Linked DNA regions of Callithrix jacchus. The protein of the gene in region 2 interacts with the protein of the main gene of each other region in a pairwise test. Links are inferred from orthologs where the notes say so. Each region holds a gene or a part of one and is shown on either strand. Other genes may lie near its edges.

Region 1 (9,356 bases), on a different chromosome or scaffold from region 2:
AAAGATAATAAAACAGACTTCACCTGTATCTAAAAACCCAAATCAAGCCACACACTTACTATTGTCTTCACATATGAATGTGGTCGTAATGACTGGATGCTGGTGCCAGAATTGCCATCTATGCAGGATCGGGCGCCAAAGATCACTGAAACTGGAATGTCAGGGTGCATTTTACCAATTCGCTGGAGCATTGGCCTTTTTGCCCATCCATAAGGAATAGTCATATTCTTGAAAGCTGTCTCACCACTTTAATGACAAGGAAAAATCACAATGTATGATTTTTGGGAATGAGCATGCACTGCACTGTCACTTCTATCAAAACACATTCATACTTAGCTTTTCCAGCACTTAAGAAAATCCTCAGCTTAAATAGAAAATAATTTACAAGACAGTTTAAGGAACAAGTTAGATAAGCAAGGCTGCTGTATGAACTAGCTGATTAAGTTTTCTTCTAAATCAAAATGTACAACCCCAATTCTCTATTATTAAATTATTTATTGTGGAGATAGCAGCTAAAAATATGTATTTTCACCTTTATTTAAACTGATGTAGAAAGAAGGTAGCTTATCCCCAGGTTCATGGCACCAGCATTTCACCTGCAATGCCAAAACCATTATCAAGTTAAGAAGAAACTCAGATGATATATTCTTGGGAACTCTCAGGATAGTCTATTTTGCTGTTACTCTGCTATTCTTATAGAACTAGACATCATTCTAACTTGCCTTTTATGAAGAATTCAAGTCTCACCACAAGAAAGGTAACAAACTAGGACTACATGAACACATGTAATCATGAAATGAGAGCACGCGAAGAGTAAAACTTAGACTGATCAGGAAAATGAATGAGGTTCCTGGGGCAGACCCCTAAAACAAAACTGTTGGAACAAGTCAATAAAGTGTGTAGACCGAATCCACCAGACCTGACTGCCTAGCAAGTCACAAAACCTCAATCTCTTGAGGACCTTGAACCTCCAGCCTCCCTAACTCTTGGCAGAGAACCTCTAACCTACTTTATTAAAAAGACTGAAACTACAGCTACACCTATAAATAGCTGCCATGGCCTCAATCTTTTTAATAAAGTAGGTGTACATATTTTCTGCCAAAAGTGAGGGAGGAAATAAAAGGGAGGGAGGCTGTCTCTGCAACTCGCCGCTTAGCCTTTCATCCAAACCTCGGGTCTTAGAAAGGATGAGAAAGTATGCTCCATGGCCCACCTATACAGAATCACCAGAGTATTTGTTAGAGATGCAACCCAGAAATGCTAATCTGTGTCTTAGAAATAAGCCTCAGGAGTCACATTTTAACAAGCACCCCCAATAATTCCAGGACACAACATAGCATGAGAACTGTGGCCCTCATCTTTGCACTCTATTCTTGATGCTCCTCCCAGAAACTCAAGGGCCTTATCATTCAGCATCCTCCTAGCTCCCCACTATCATCAGGCTCTGTTTTCTCCACTGGTACTTTTCACCCAATATTCATAAGTCATATTTTAAAGAAAAAAATACATTTGACCCTCTTGCTCCCTCTGGCTACTATGCTCGATTCTTTCTCTCCTTCTAATCACTGTCAAAATACAGGCAGAATCCTTCACTTACTCCTCACCCTCTGCAGCTGCATTTCTAATGCTGACCTAAAGATGTTTAGAGTTGTTCAGGAGTACAACCATCGAATGAACTTGAAAAATACTACACAGCATCTCCCATTCACTTGGGAGATTCAATACCCTTTGGTATAGTAAAGGTTCTAAGAGGATTAATAGTAAAGACAACCACTTACTTTTGTTTAATCCAGCACCTTTCTCTCTCTCTCTCTCTCTTTTTTTTTTTTTGATGAACTATTTATATTCAGTTTGGGAAATACTTCTTTAAATGTGAAATTCCTTAACTCTCAACTCAAACCATCTCTTGGAGATGCCCAAGACCAATGCTTCCTCAACTTATCCATAAGAATTTTGGGGGAAGCGTGAACATCTTACTTTTTAATCTCCCATCAGAACTCAGCACATTGTTTTATACAGTAGGTACTCTAAGAATAGATGAATAAATTAAGACATATTAGACATTTTGTCCTTTTAAATTTAACTACTGATAAAAATCTTCTGAATCAGATATATTTTTTAAAAAATAGTATAAAACACACACACACACACACACACACACACACACATACACACACACAGAGTAAATTTAGACTCCTAACCCTCACCTTGGAGTTTGCACATTACAGTGGTAGATGTATTCTGTCACAGTATCATCCTCAAACATTGAAGAATACTTCCGTTTGAAATCAGGCCTTAAACGCTGCACTAGACTTAAACCTATTTAACAGGAAATTTAAAAATGTATAATTAACTTATCAACTAAATAATATAGAGTTTTAGTGCTTACCTGTGTAACGAGTGTTATGTGCACACATACCTACGAATACATATTGCAGGTGGGAAAAAGCACACATTCTGATAGGAGTCCTCCTAAAGTTCCCCAAAGAAATATTAATATAAAAATTAAAGAGTATTGTATTTTGACTTACAGATATGCTTTAGGGCCTCAAAAACATTTAAGTTAGAAGGCCAATGAGTAGCTCATACATAAAATTAATGTATTAACTTGTATTTCTTCTGTAATTATAACACATTAGCATCTAAATGAAGTAAATTGGTAATATGTAAATTGTTCTGTATGAAAATACATTCAGTTTCTTCCTGGGACACTAGCAAGACTCCCTGCTAAGGTCATCCATGGTGACACCCACAACCCCACTCTAGAAAAAGTCCAGGGCAAAGCCCCCAAGGGAAAGAGGATGAAGAACAGAAGCTTTCTTCTAGTCACAATTTTTCATTCTGAGGCCCCAGAGACTGAATGGCGTCCCTTTCTGCTGCCACTACCCCATGACTCCAGCAAGCCTTTACTTCTCTACTTGCCCTTTAATCCCATCTCTGAGGAATTATACAGCTCCACCAAGAAATTCTGTCATGAGCTGATTCTGTATCACCACCCCACGCCCAAGTGCAAGCAATAATGGGAGGCTGAGGGCATGGCTTTAAAGAGCCTCTCCTCGGTATCCTCCCTTGCCCATCACTGTCTCCTAACTTCTCTTCATACTTTACTTTTCCCATAATTGTTATTTGTGTACCTGTGATCTAGTAAAATCCATTTATATTTCAGGACTATAAAGACTAAATGAAGCTCTTAAGTAGTTTACCAGAAGAGGACCAGGCACATAAGGAGTGGCTCTACTGGGGAGGGCTTCAAGACTGCAGATGGCAAAATGTGCCATCTGTAAGAGTACTGAGGGAGTAAAGTGTGGTCACCAATTCAACCCCCCTACCCTCCTCTAAGTCCTGCAGTTCCACTGCTCTCCCAATCCAAAGAGAAGGCACTAGGACCAAAAGGGGTCAGGGCTGGGCAAAGGGGAACAGCATTTGTAGTCACCTGCATGATAGTTAATCCCATACCCTCATCCACACCCCCATGCCTCTTCTCTTTCTTGCTAACAGAATCCATCTTTTTTTTTTTTTCTGAGACAGGGTCTTGCTCTGTTGCCCAGGCTGGAGTATAGTGGCATGCTCTCAACTCACCATAACCTCCACCTCCCGGGTTTGAGCAATTCTCATGCCTCAGCCTCCCGAATAGCTGCGATTACAGGTGTGTGCCACCACGCCTAGCTAATCGTTTTATATTTTTAGTAGAGATGGGGTTTGCCACGTTAGCCAGGCTAGTCTTGAACCCTGGCCTCAAGTGATCTGCCAACCCCATCCTCCCAAAGTGCTGGGATTACAGGTATGAGCCATGGCACCTAGCTAGAACCCATCTTTTCTATAGTATCAATTAGGCAGCAATGTGCCCAGGAAAGCAGGCCCTGGGAACAAATCATGACTGGTCAGTCATAGAAAATTTTTCTTTGCTGGTGGAAGGACTAGGAGTGGAGAGAGACACAATGGGAGGTCGGCTGGGGCCTTCCAGGGAGAACTTTCTTCCCTGACAAAGCATTATGGAGAGAAGGACCATTTTCCATGCTTTTCTTTCTTTTTGCTCAGGGTGCTGTTTTGTGAGATGGTGCTTAATGCCATGGCAGGCATCAAACCCCGTGAGAAAAAAGGTCAAGAAAATCACAGACACAGACCCAAACTTTAACACCAATGAGCAAACAACTAGAACAAGTGCTAAAACCTATTTCCAGATTGCTTATTAGGGAAATAATAAAAGGCCTTAAATTTAAGCCACTGGGTATTCAATTACTTACAACTAAAAGTACTCCAAACTCATACAAGTTGTATGGGAGAAAGGCCGAGGGTCGAACCATCATTATCTGTGACAGTGAGGGAAGAAAATTCCCATGGCTATAGGGCTAAGGCAGAGCAGCTGAGAGTGAAATAAAAGTCAATCAGGAACTAAACACGGGTACCTCAAAATATGACCAGAAATATGTATCAGGAGTCTCCAAAACGTTGTGGAAAAAATACCTTTATCTTTCCAACATTCTGGATAAGGGAAATCTGTGAGTGTGGTGGTATCTTTTATCCCCAGGGGATCTCCCAAATGGTATCATCAATTGGCCAAATGCTCTCCAATGCTCACCAACAGGGTAACATGCTACACTTCTCCCAGGCCCTGGGCTAGCAGAGCTTCTTATATACTCCCCAAAACACTCTGCTTGCCTGGCTTTTCTCAGAGTATTCAGGACTGACTAACGGCATCCTCAGCATTCCCCTCCTTCTCGCTTTACTAATTACTTATTTCAATATAAAGACTCCCCTTTGAGGAAAAAAGCCTAGTTGTATTCCTCTTTGTGCAAGACATGGTACTTATTAAAGGAAGAGGATAAAAAGGGTTCAGGCTTGTTTGTTTTTAAGATTTTGACTAATGATAGTGAATACTCCTCCACTGATAATCTATAAACATTTTACTTTCTTAGGACATAAGCACTCACCAAAGGGTCCTGCAATCCTTAGGCCAGCTAAAGGGTTAAAAGGAGTCAATATTGCTCCCAAGGCTCTGATCCAAACTGGAATTGGTCTGTCTTGATTAGCAAGGTCTGGTCGTTCAGGGAAACCCCAAGGCTCCACTAAAATGAGATGATTAACCCTGTTGGGGGAAAGAAGAAATTTAAGTTCATTTGGTAAAACCACCCTAAGACTATAAAGAGCTAACATGATTTATAAAATAAAGGTAGAGCAAACCACCTTCAAAAACCTTCATGTTAAAGACTAGTGGCTAAAGAGTCATATCATGCTCTTATTCTGTGTAAACTTATGTAGATCACTAGCCACTCAGAAAAATCCAAAGATTCTGTGTATGTCAAGGTTGACAAAGCAAAAACGGCTAAGATCAGTATCACATTCTTTTATTTTTATGTATTTATTTTTTTTGAGACGGCGTTTCACTCTTGTTACCCAGGCTGGAGTGCAATGGCGCAATCTCGGCTCACCGCGACCTCCGCCTCCTGGGTTCAAGCAATTCTCCCGCCTCAGCCTCCCGAGTAGCTGGGATTATAGGCATTCTTATAAAATAGCCTCATATACCAACAACCATCATCTCCCATGAATCAAACATCCTAAAAATTTAAGAGAAGTTAAGGACTTAAAGTGGGTTCAAAAGTGCTTTAAATGAACTTTTCATAAACATAAAGATAATGTAATATGGACTGAAAACACTCCCTATTTTTGGATTCTAGAAATGTTGAAAAGGAACATGTCTGTCTACCTTACCCATGATAACACGCTATACTGACATTAGATTCTGTTTCCAATACTTTCCCAATTTTCTCCTTCATTGACCAAGAGATAGAAAATCTTCAGTACCACTTCATATAAAATTATTTCATATTGTTAATAATTCTAATATTTCCATCTTATGAAACTTCTTCCCATTGAAGAAAAACCGGAACTATCAGCAGTACTTCCACGTAGCTGCATCATGCTTTATACATCATAAAGATTCTAAACGAAGTACAAAGATCCTTCTGATACAAAACAATGTTCAGCTGTAACCAAACCAGCCAAGAAATGCCAGCCAAAAAATCTCCCAAGGATAAACTGACAATGATTCTAAAGTCCTTTCCTAAGTTATAACTGAAACAGAAAGGCAAAGAAACAAAAACATGGGCACAGATGGTATTATTCCTCATATAAAATCTATTCAATTATTGTCAGTATACATAATGAGTTAGTAACAGGTCCATACTCTGATTGCTTTTTTTTTTTAAGACAGAAAGCTTTAGAGCACAGAGCTCTATGATCCCTTGGAGAATACTGGGTCCAATCTTTCATCTCAGACCAGAAGGAAGCTAAGATATACTACGTGACCTGCTCTGGTATATAACATTAGTTCATGTAGAACTAAGGCTGAAACCCACATTTCTCTACTCCAGCATGCTAACAGATGCCGATAAGCAATTTTCTAAACAGGCTAATCAACATAAGATAGACATATTAGTAAAGGTAAAAATTAACCTTTACCAACTCTCAAGGCTAGTCCTAATATTATATTCTAGATTTCATAGCATTGAGAACATGGTAGAATATAAAGATGTATGAAGATACGTGATAAATGAGTTTCATATAATTATGAAGTGTACCTTCACAGTCTAAAAATTTCATATGAGAATATTTTCTAATTGCGTATCAGAAAGAGGTTGGAAATGAGTGTTTTGCTTTGTTTTTTAATGGCAAAAACTATCTCTTATATTTTGACCACCTAATGAATTCTTTCTATTACAGCCCACAATAAGATCTGGGGAAGGGGAAGGGAGAGGCTTAACAGAAGTATGAGTGGAACTAACAAGACAGACACCTAGTTGAAAGCAGCAAAGATTCATGTTAAGAAACGACCACTATTTTTCACTGACTTACCTCCTAAAGAGAAAAATGAACTCTTTATTAAAACATACCCTACCCTAAACAAGTGTTAAATTTTTGTCATAAATTTGTTAATGAATCTTGCTCTGTCTGCTCTAGGCTCTTTCCGACCCGCTAACTCAAAAACAAGGAGGACAAAGAAAAACTTGACAGAGTCTCATCTATCTCTAGGTAAGTGACTGTTTTTGCCTTACTTTTGGCTTGCCTTTAAAATATGATCTTCAAAATTTCATCCCTAGGTGAAAATGCCAGTTTAACAAATTATGCAAAGTATAGATACTAAGGTAGATGACCTCTTTTGTTTCTTTTTGAAAAGGAGTAAACTGTCCCTACAATTGCTCAATTCTATGTTTTCATAACCTAGCATGATGCTCAGCACACGAAGGATGCTTGGTAAACATTTGGGTTAAAATGCTTTTCTACATTTTCTTTTGGTCCTAATCTATTAAGGATATACAAATTTTATAAAGCATAATCATAGCATAAGCATATCCAGCTGACTATTTCTAGATAACATCAGAACATCATTGCTATTTATTAATCTCATTATTGGGTAATAAAATCCATTTAGATGGTCAAGAACCAGTCTAGTTTTTTTTTTAAATAAAATTATATTGTTTGGAATAGAAAAATAAATCATAAGCATTGAATATTGGCCAAAAAATTGTATTAATATATGTATGTGTGGGTGTCTGAAACAAGTTTTGTGGGGTGATAGACTTGCATTTTTCTATTCCAAACAATACAGAAGGGCCATAGTCAAAAAAGTTTGAACACAGTTTTTTAAAACTTGAAAAATCTAAACTGTAGTTAACTGTAGTTATATATCATCTGCTTCTACTACATGTAAAGACCCCAGAAAATAATTTTCCTTATTTTTGGTCGTAAAGATTTTAAATAAGATAAACCATGCAAAGCACTCCGGTTGGTGGCTATCAAATGCTAAGTATTCAGTAAATGTAAGCTAGTTATAGTAGGGTGAATAGGAAGACTACAAGAGTAGAATTAATTCCAGGGAAGATGGAAAGACAGGCTTTTATTCTTCAGAAGAGCCTGATCACTGGTTAGTATAATGCTGCACCCAGACCAAGGTCCCAGGCTATCTTCTAACCTCCTCTTCTAGTAAAAGTATTATCTCCTCACTTGATAGGAGTTACTGGTTTTAATGTACATCTGAACTATTATAATTTATCTAAACCCTACTCTTTAATATTCCAGAGAGAGTTCCCTGCTGGGATTGTTCACATCTAGGGTAAAGAATGGGTCCAACCAGACAGCACATGTGAGTCATCCTTGTCAAGAATCAGAGGCTGGTTTAAACCACAGGAAAAACAAAGAACCAGCAGAACAAGAACAACAGAACAACCCATCAGTTTTGAAATATAAAAAGGCATTCTTCTTAATGTTAGTCATTAGAATTGGCCTTGAGTTTGAAGATGGTGAGCAGATTATATCCTTAGGGGCAAAGCAGTGGACAACACCTGCACCAACACACTGGGACCTGATTTCACTTGGTCTAAATGCTAACAAGGGTAGGTAAGCCTGACCTTCAATGGGATTTACAGACAGCCACCAGTCAGAAATACTGCAATAAGAACAACCATCAGACCAGGCGTGGTGGTTCACACCTGTAAACCCAACACTTTGGGAGGCTGAGGCAAGTGGATCACTTGAGGCCAGGAGTTTGAGATGAGCCCGGCCAATATGTTGAAACTCTGTCTCTACTAAAAATACAAAAAATCAGCCGGGTGTGGTGGTGCACCCTGTAATCCCAACTACTCAGAAGGCTGAGGCATGAGAATCACTTGAACTCAGGAGACAGAGGTTGCAGTGAGCCGAGATCGTGACACTGCACTCCAGCCTGGGCAACAGAGGGAGACAATGTCTCAGGAAAATCAGACCTAGAATCAAAATGTATAAGGGAGTCTTAAAATGATCAGAAAGAATTCTAGTCAATGCACAAAGGAGGCATTTGCAAAATGAAGTTAGCCCAAGGTATTTCCCATTGGCTCCAAGCCACTGGAGGGAGAAAAGGGAAGGGCCAGAGAACAACAAACTAAATACCTCCAACTTCAAGTAGAATAGCTTTTCCTAGAACAGCAGGGGGGCAACAAAAATTGCTCAGGTCAGTTCTGTACAATCAGAAGACAGAGCCAGGCAAAAGAAAAGTGTTCAAGATAAAATTATCTAAAAACCTTTTACAAGAGAAATAAAGACTAGTCATAACCTATCCTACTTGGAATAGATCTCTTTGCTAAACACTTTCTAAGTTAAAATTACTAGAATCTCGTTTTCCTTAGTTTATAACAAATATCTTCAAAACACAGTGTTTGTATGGGGTCCTGGGCAGCAGGGGCCAGAAGGAAAGGAAAATTAAAAGAGAAAATTGGGCCGGGTGCAGGTGGCTTATGCCTGTAATCCCAGCACTCTGGGAGGCTGAGGAGGGTGGATCACTTGAGGTCAGGAGTTCGAGACCAGCCTGGCCAACATGGCGGAAC
Region 2 (9,369 bases):
TGGCCCCAAATATTCTAAATCGGTCGCCGTCCTGAGCAAGAACGACACAGAGCAGCCTGCCGCCATGATCACCAGAAAGAATCATATTAGACCCTGAAAATGTGAAGAAGCAGAAAACTGAACTTGGATCTTCATGTGTGTAAAATGTAACAAAAGGTGATATTGATTGATGAAACATCGTGTTTAAGAGGTACAATTCTGGGCCGTGCACGGTGGCTCACACCTGTAATCCCACCACTTTGGGAGGCCAAAGAGGGTGGATCACAAGGTCAGGAGATCGAGACCAGCCGGGCCAACATGGTTAAATCCCCTCTCTACTAAAAATACAATAATTAGCTGGGTGTGGTAATGCATACTTGTAGCCCCAGCTTCTCAGGAGGCTGAGGCAGGAGAATCACTTGAACCCAGGAGGTGGAGGTTGTGTGAGCCAAGATCACACCACTGTACTCCAGCCTAGCAACAGGGCAAGACGCCATCTCAAAAAAAAAAAAAAAAAAGAGGTACAATTCTGGGCCAGGCAAGGTGGCCCAGGTCTGTAAACCCAGCACTCTGGGAGGCCAAATCAGGCAGATCCCTTCAGCCCAGGAGTTTGAGACAAGCCTGGGCAACAGGGCAAAGCCATTTCTACAAAAAATACAAACATTAGACAGGCATGGTGGCATGGGCCTATAGTCCCAGCCACAAGGGAAGTTGAGGTAGGAAGATACTCTGGCTTGAGCCTAGCAGGTGGAGGCTGCAGTGAGCTTAGATGGTGCCACTGCACTCCAGCCTGCGTATACAATTCATTTAGAGAGAAACTCAAGGCTGAGTATGGTGGCTTACACCTGGAATCTCAGCACTCTGGGAGGCTGAAGCGGGAGGATAGCTTGAGATCAGGAGTTCAAGACCAGCCTGGGCAACATAGTGAGACTCAAGGTCAGGAGATTGAGACCATTCTGGCCAACATGGCGAAACCCCATCTCTACTTAAAAAAAAAAAAAAAAAAAAAAAAAAAATTAGCTGGACATGGTGGCATGTGGCTGTAATCCCAGCTACTGAGGAGAATGAGGAAGAGAAGAATCACTTGAACCAGGAAATCGGAGGTTGCAGTGAACCAAGATCGTGCCACTGCACTCCAGCCTAGCGACAGAGTGACTCCATCTCAAAAAAAAAAAAAGTGAAAAAAAAGAAGTGGGCTTTGTGAGCTGGAATGGAAGCCATTAGGTATTTCTCTGAAGGACCCTGGGCAACCCTATGTGAACTGAAGGTCTTTTGTAGGTCCTGAGCTACTGAAGATACTGAGTGTTGGGGGGCCTTACCAAAGTGATGCCTCCCAGAACAGAGGAAAGTCCCCCCTTGAGCCTAGAGCCAAGAAAGCAAATGTCTGCCATTTAGCGGAGCTACTTTGCCCTTGTTATTGTCCCAAACGTGTCCAAAATACAGAGAAGCAGCTTCAGTGTACCTTGCTGCCTATTCAAAAGGTTTCTAAGAGTAAAAAGAAACTTACAACTTACACTGTTTGCTTCCTGGGCTGTCCTATTCCATATTCGGCCTGCAGTCTTGCGCCCAGGTCCAGGGATGAGTGAGGGAGCTGGGCTGGCCAGCGGGCCTGTTGGCGGCCACAGCCCTCATGCGGCTGAGGAGGCAGCTTTCCTGCCTTCTGGAACACAGCCTAGCAGGAGGAGCCACGGGGCTGGCGAGGAGCAGATAACTAGGAACGTGGTTTCCGGAGCCCCAGGAAGAATGCAACCCGGGTGGGTGAGGCCCGGGACAGGCAGGAGTTTCTTTCTGCACATCCAGGCCCAAGGTCACTTTTCCAGCATCTGTCCATGGGAGCCCTGCCAGGGCTGTGCTGGGCTGTCTTCTCAGCCCTGTTAAATCAGCTTCTCAGAACGCCTCTTGCCAACTCCACCTTCCACACCCACCAGGGAACTGCTGGGTGTAGTTTATATCATGGAAGTAGGGTGCAGAGGGCCCATGGCTGGCCCAGGGGCCTGGCCATGTCTTCATGTGTGTGTCTACCAGCCTCTCTCCTGTCCCCATTCTTGCCATCCTCAGACTCCAAAACTGCAGATCAAGGCCCATGTCTCATTACACCAAAGATCTGCCAGGGCCCAGAGTCAGTTCCAGGAGTGGGGGCTTCCAGGGTGCAGCAGACTGAGAGCCAACAGCGTGGGTGCTTATGGGTCTGAGGGAAGCCTGTAGAAGATGAATATAAATATGTGGGTGTCAGGCCGGCTGCAGCGGCTCATGCCTGTAATCCCAGCACTTTGGGAGGCCAAGGAAGGTAGATCACGAGATCAGAAGTTCAAGACTAGCCTGGCCAACATGCTGAAACCCCATCTCTACTAAAAACACAAAAATTCGCTGGGTGTGGTGGCGCACACCTGTAACCCCAGCTACTTGGGAGGCTGAGGCAGAGAATCGCTTGAACCTGGGAGGCAGAAGTTTCGGTGAGCCAAGATTGCAGCATTGCACTCCAGCCTGGGTGACAGGGTGAGACTCGCCCCCCCCCAAAAAAATATACAGATGTCTAAAAGGACTGACCAAAGAGTCATAATTTTCTGTGCATATTTCTGAAGCTGCAGGTGAAAATAACTAGAAAAATAAGGTTTGGTTTGGAAGGCTACTCGGCGTTATCTAGCAATACTTGAAGTGCACATATTATTTCACTAGCATGTCATGGTTACAAGTTACACACTTATCATATATATACATATCCACACATGTACACTAGACATTTTGGTCAGGACATTTATTATAGCACTGTTTGCAGTAGCAATAAAAAGAAAAAAAGGAAAGGACTTAAAAGTCCATCGTTAGGGAACTAGTTAAATTAAACAAGGCATATCCATACTACGCAGTAGTTATTATGCGGCCATCGAAAAGAGCGAGTGGGATTTATGATGTGATACATAAATCTCTCCAAGCTGAGTTATTAAGTGAAAAAAGCAGGCTAATTCGAAGGCAAGCAGGAAGTGCAGACACGTGCCTGCAGGGGCATAGCCCATAACCACGGGCACACATGAGAGCGGCACCATAACCACGGGCACACATGAGAGCGGCACCATGCTGGTTTTTATGGAGGGGAACATGGGGGCTCAGGGAGAGAGACACACACCCTTTTGCAATGTATGAATTTTATAATTGTATGAATGTATTGTCTAGATTTATCAAATATTAACATTCCTGTTCTGTGGCTATAAAGTCTATATATATGGTCACCATTTTCCTTCCCCAGCATCTGGGGGGCATCAAGAGAGTGACTACGCAGGTGAAGACAGTGATGATGCCAATGGAAACGTGGCTTCGAGCAAGCCTCGGGCTCTGCAGAGCACAGGCCTGGGACCCAGCCTATGAAGGGGCGGGGACTCAGAAAGTGACACTGGAATTATGAATAATCACGCAAGAGCTTTTGCATCTGATTATTCCCTTCAAAGTAGTCTGCTAGGAGCCTCGATCGATCGCCAGAGGATCTCTGAGTTCAGTGCTAAGAATGTGTCAAAACCTCTGTTTGGACCTTAGGGTGGTGACCAGAGCTACTCATTTGTGGCAAAGGTTGATCCACAGAGGCAGAATCTGAATTTTGAAAACGGTCAAATGTCTTTCGGCCACACGTTTGGTTAAAGAGATGAAAAACCAACGGAGGCCATTTCTCTTTTAGTTCAGAGCAGGCTGTGGCTCTGGTGTCCCTTAAAAACTGGCTCTGAGGGTGAAGCGCCAGAAAGATGCTAAGAAAGTGTGTGCCTCGGCAGCCGGGGGATGCAGCGGGGTCCCAGGGGCTGATTTGGAAGAGGCAGCTGGCCCGGGGCTGCGCGGGTTGTGTGTGCGGAGGGTCGAGGTCTGGGCGCGCGGCTCAGCTCTTCTTGCGCAGCTGGCTGTACTGCGCGCGGCCCAGGATGGGCTCCAGGACGCTGGGGCGAAAGAGGCTGTCGCTGACCCTGCGCTTCGGCTTCTCCCGGGGCACTGCCGGGAACGCGCGCGGCGCAGCGGGAGAGTCAGCCTCGTCCTCCGGGCCGGGGCTCCGCGCGCGGCGAAGGTTCCCGCGGGACTGGGCGGGGCGCGGGGCGGGCTCAGGGCCGGGGGACTGCGCTCCCGACGCCCTGCGCTCCGTCTCCGGGGGCGGGTGGTCGATGTCCCGGAATTCGCTCTCCGGCTCCATCAGCGACAGCCTGGGGAGCTGGAACCCGGCAATCTACTTAGAGCACCAGCTCGGCCCCATCCCTGCGCCCCGGACCCACCGCCGCTTCCCCGGGCCTGGTAGCCGCCTTAGAGCCCCGGACCCACCACCCCTGCTCAGCCCCGTAGTCGCGTGACAGCCCCGGCCTGGCCCTGGTCCCTGAGCCTCCGACCCACTGCCCCTGCCCAGCCCGGTCCCTCGATTGTTCCCCAGGGGGGCGGCCATCCGGAGAGCACAGGCTGGGGGGCGGGACGGTAGTTTGTTGGCACCGGGGAAAACCCCGAGGTCCTGCCCACCCTGAGCCTCTCCACGGACCAGGCCACTCAGGCAAGCCAGGCCTCCCAGAGTTTCAGGATCCCTGGGCCTCCCTCCGGGGAACGCTCAGTGGGACGTCATCAGCTTTCCTAACCCTTCCTTGCAGCCCGCACAGTGACCTGGTCCGGGCTCGCCTTCCTGTGGCTGGTCCGGGCGCAGGGCAAACAAGCCGGCTGCTAAGATCCCTGGCCTGCTGCTTGTTGGAGAGAATGACTGAGAAACCCACCCTCTATGGGTGCCTTCTGCCCTGACCAGCCCTGCTCCGGCCTGCCAGCCTGTAACTTGCTCTGGAAAGGGGCTCCCAAAGGGATGGCATTGGTATCCTGGGGGGGTTTTCCTACTGGTGACAGGTGATAGAATTGCTTGGGGCCTGCTGCTGTCTCCTGAACTCATGGCCCACCCCTAGAGTGCCCTGGAAGCCTCTCCAACCCTTCCCAGGCCTCAGCATGCAAACCTGCCCCAAACCTGTCCCAAATCTGCCCTAAACCTGCCAAGCCCTTCAGTTGGGAGTAGAGGGGTGAGGGTGAGCCACTGGGATCTCAGGGCTGAGGCAGGAGACTCCTACCAGCAAGTGGGAGGGGCCGAGGGGAGGAGGCCTCAGGCCAGGGCTGTGGGCCTCTATCCTCCTGGGGCTGGGAGAGGCGCAGTATGTCGACATGTTGGCAGGGCACTGAGGCCTAAGGAGGGTCTCCAGAGGGAAAGGACGGGTCTGCAGCCCCTTCAGTCAGATCTACTTTATCTGCCCAGTCCAGCCCCCCTTGGGACACTAACAGCTTACCAGGGGTGGGACTCACCGGCACGTAGTGCACCACTGTGTCCACCACGTTGTCAGTAACGCCCTTCAGGGCATCTGATAGCGACATGGCCCTCCCCTTGGTGGAGGTGACGGCCTGGGCTGGGGTGAGGTGCAGCACCCTCCCTGCCATGCCCAGCACAGCTGCAGGTGCCCATGTAACAGCCGAGATGGTGGTCTGGAGGGCCTTCTGCAGGGTGTGTGCCACATTGCCCAGGAGGCCCTGAGGGCCTGGCAGGGCTGCTACCTGGGGGCCAGAGCAGGGTCAGTGCCTCCTGCGGCGACTCCCCTGACCCTTCTCGCCCCACCAGCCCCAGAGCTAGAGGGGAAACACACAGGAATACCAAATGTACACAACTTGGGGCCTATTCTGCCACCAGAGCGTGGCTTTGGGCAGGTCACATCCCCTCTCTGAACCTCTGTTTCTTCTCCTGCAAAACAGGACAGTCATCTCTGCCCTGCCGTTTACAGAGTGTTGGAAGGGTCAGCTGAGAGAATGGCACAGAAGTCCCTCATCGACTGGGCATTTGAGGGTGGGGTGAAGGGTGCTGCACCCACCTGCCATACCCCTGCATCTGGGGTACTACCCTATGCCTCTGCTTCTCACCCCGTCTGTGGGCTGGGGGACCTTGAGGCTCCCACTCTCCCCTCACCTCACTGAACTTCTTCTCTTCAGTCTCTGATTCTTCCTCCTCCTCTGTCTCCTCTCCTTCGGTGTCTGTCTGGTCCTCACGATCCTCCTCCTGGGTGGCAAGGCTGTGCAGCCAGGGCACCCGAACCTCGCTCTTCCGCCGGGACACCACTTCCATGGCCACTGACGCACCCCACTGGGCCAGGCTGCTCTAAGGGAGGGTGGCAGCACACCGCTGGCTCCACTGCCCCTGCTGAAAGCCAGGAGCCCCAGCAGCCGAAGCCCTTCCCCTCAAGGGTCAGGACCAGGGTGGTGAGCAGGGCTCAGCCCCAGCAGACTTTTCTTGAAACTTTTTGTTAACTGGTAATCTACATACACTAAAGTGCACACATCTTATTGTAAGCTCTGTGAACTTTTATAAAAACACACCTAGGCCTGGCGTGGTGGCTCACGCCTGTAATCCCAGCACTTTGGGAGGCCAAGGCAGGTGGATCACAAGGTCAAGAGATCGAGATCATCCTGGCCAACAGGTGAAACCCCATCTCTACTAAAAAAAAAAAAAAAATTAGCTGGGCATGGTGGCTCACGCCTGTAGTCCCAGCTATTTGGGAGGCTGAAGCAGGAGCAGTGCTTGAATCTAGGAGGTGGAGGTTGCAGTGAGCCAAGCTCGTGCCACTGCACTCCAGCCTGGTGCCTGGCGACAGAGCGAGACTCCATCTCAAATTAAAAAAAACACACCTGTGTAACCACCAGAGATCAAGAAAGAGACCACCATTTTCTTTTTCTTTTTCCTTTTTTTTTCTTTTTTTGAGATGGAGTCTCGCTTTGTCACCCAGGCTGGAGTGCAATGGCGCGATCTCGGGCTCACCGAAACCTCCGCCTCCTGGGTTCAAGCAATTCTCCTGCCTCAGCCTCCTGAGTAGCTGGGATTACAGGCACGCACCACCATGCCCAGCTAATTTTTTGTATTTTTAGTAGAGATGGGGTTTCACCATGTTGACCAGGATGGTCTCGATCTCTTGACCTCGTGATCCACCTGCCTCGGCCTCCCAAAGTGCTGGGATTATGGGCATGAGCCATCGCACCCGGCCTTATTTTTTTTTTTTCTGGTTTTAGTTTCTTACTAAAATTCCTTATGAAAACAATCCAGCCTATTTCTGCTAAAATACAGAGAGGTTGGGGTGGGGAGTGGTGGGGAGTGAACAGTCCCGCTCTAGCAAGGCAGGCCTGGTCTCAGCTAACCTCCTGTCCTTCTCTTTCCCTGTGGTCTGGAAGGCTGCCCTCCATCCCTGTCAAGGCCTCTTGTCCTTAGAACTCAAGCCCCAGCCCAGGATGGAAGACAGAATGTTCTCAGGACAGGAAGGGGTGGTAGGTGGGTGGTCAGGGGCCTGGGAGGCACAGGGCAGACACTCACCAGGGGCGCCACACCAGGGATCCACATGGCCAGGGTGTGGCCCTGCTCCAGGGCCCGGGCCACGGTCTGCATGGTGTGTCGAGAGAGGGTGTTGGTCAGAGCCCCAACCCTGCGCACAAGGCTTGGCTTGGCCTTGGGAGGCTTCTGGGCTTGCTGGTGTCCAGGAGCAGGGACTGGGTAGGGATATGGGGGAAAAGAAGAGAAGATGGATCAGAGAGGGGCCAGGGAGATCTGGGTCATGGCTAGCGCTGGAAAGCAGGTGTTCTGGTCCCACCACAAACTCACTGGTGATTTCCACAGCTCACTTTCCCTCTTTACTGATGGGGTGGGGGTGGGGTGAATTATTAGGAGTCCATCTGAAAATCCCACTGGCCTTCCCTATTCCAGAGCAGGGGCTGGATAAGCCCTGCCACCTCCTGCTGAATCCCAGGCCATGTGTGTGACAGCAACTCACTCCCAGGCCGAGCCTCCGAACGATGGGTACCTGACTCTGTCTTGTCTGGCGGGAGGAGGTACTCCACCACCTTCTCAATGCTGCCCAAGGCCAGGTCGGCCCCTTCGGAAGCCAGCTGGCCAGCTCGGGTGTTGGCAGCAAATTCCGCAGTGTCTCTGGCCACCCCCCAGGCGAGCTCGCACCCAGTCAGAGCGGCCCCCAGGACCTTGTCTGAAGTGCTGGCGATGGGCACGCTGATGCTGTTTCTGGCGCTGCGGAGGCGGGTGGAGATGGTGTCCTTCAGCTCAGAAGCAATCTGGGGGAGTAAGTGGGGTGTTAGGCATGCAGTCTGGCAGATCCTACAATGGCCACCCTTTTGGGGCCTGGCACCCTGAGCCTAGCTCCCAGGAAGGCCTCATCTAAAGGCCCAGGGAGCTGGTGCTGATATTTGGGTACCCGGAATTAAGCTGGGCTCTAAAGGGAGAGGGCACCCACCTGCCCTGTGCCACCTACTTGGTCTCCTGGCTCCTTCACACCGCACCACTGTCTGTCAAGATCCCTCCCATCCTGCGAGGATGACCCCAAAGCTCCTCTTTGGTGGCCCGTGTCCTGACACCCTCGTGCTCACAGGACTCTCCTCCCTCCTTTCCTCAGAACACGCCATTTCTATTGATTTACAGCTGGGCTTGATCTTCACTGGTTCTGCACTGAAATAATCTGACTTTTCTTCACTATCCTGAGAGTTCCTTTGTGACAAAAACCTTGCCCTTTTTCTGGAAAAAAGGGGAGCAGAGAGCACAGACCTCACAGCTGAACAGACCTGCTCTCACGTGGTCTCCAATTAAGGCTGTGTGGCTGTGGGAAGACACTGGTTTCCTCTCTGTAAAGTGGAGGTAATGATCCCTATCCCAGAGGCTTGATAAGAGGGTTCAGTGAGGGCTTGATTAGGCATAGGCAATGGCCCCGGGCATCGGGTAGGGCTCGGTATGTGTTCGTGGGAAGGGTAGACAGTTGGTCAGTGAGATAGGTGAGGTCAGAGACTGAAGCTTATCTCCCAGAAGCAGCAAAAATGGGCCTTTATCATAGCAACTACCCAACGAATATGTAGCCACATAAAGTGACATTCAGTCTCATGGTCCATAAAATGTTGGCTCTTGAGGACCTGGGATGACACTCCTGGGATCTTCATGAGTGTGACTTGTGATCTTAGGCAGCTGTAGTCGCCAAGTGGTCCAGGGCAGACTATGGACCCCAGACCCCAGGGCATGGTATTGGGAGTAGTGGGAATGCCCTGAGCATCTGTTTGAGTTTGCCTCTGGGATTGTGCCTGCTGGTCCCAGAAACCCAACTTCCAGGAACCCCACCTCCATCTGGCTTCACGGGGAAAAGAGGAGCCTGTGGTGTGGCCTTGGGAGCAGGCAGCCTCCACCGGCCTTGGAGGGCACTCGCCGTGGGACACAGACGTACAGTCACTGCCTCAGCAGCCCCTGCCCTCTCCTCCCTGAGAGGGGTGGCTAGAGTGCAGGGAGGCTCTCGAGGTGGGAAAGGCTTACCTTTTCAGGAGGGTACTGAAGGGCTGGGATCTTTTGCTCCAGGTGGTCCAGGCCCCGGCAGGCCAGCTCGT

The links.
Region 1: the proteins of PLIN1 (region 2) and ABHD5 interact in a protein complementation assay, tested with the Homo sapiens proteins (3 studies listed by BioGRID, with this or other methods). The link is inferred for Callithrix jacchus from reciprocal best matches to the Homo sapiens genes PLIN1 and ABHD5.

What each region holds. Positions count from the first base shown.
Region 1 is NC_133516.1:26,468,092-26,477,447, reverse strand, and holds part of ABHD5 (1-acylglycerol-3-phosphate O-acyltransferase ABHD5), read right to left. Parts: intron 5,087-9,356; coding exon 4,932-5,086; intron 2,320-4,931; coding exon 2,208-2,319; intron 2,028-2,207; coding exon of another isoform or gene 2,012-2,027; exon of another isoform or gene 621-2,011; intron 597-620; exon of another isoform or gene 533-596; intron 247-532; coding exon 60-246; intron 1-59. UniProt on the Homo sapiens protein: Coenzyme A-dependent lysophosphatidic acid acyltransferase that catalyzes the transfer of an acyl group on a lysophosphatidic acid.
Region 2 is NC_133507.1:18,825,740-18,835,108, forward strand, and holds the end of PLIN1 (perilipin-1), read right to left. Parts: coding exon 9,299-9,369; intron 8,062-9,298; coding exon 7,797-8,061; intron 7,486-7,796; coding exon 7,313-7,485; intron 6,110-7,312; coding exon 5,921-6,109; intron 5,515-5,920; coding exon 5,269-5,514; intron 4,160-5,268; coding exon 3,836-4,159; 3' UTR 2,720-3,835; downstream 1-2,719. UniProt on the Homo sapiens protein: Modulator of adipocyte lipid metabolism. Coats lipid storage droplets to protect them from breakdown by hormone-sensitive lipase (HSL). Its absence may result in leanness. Plays a role in unilocular lipid droplet formation by activating CIDEC.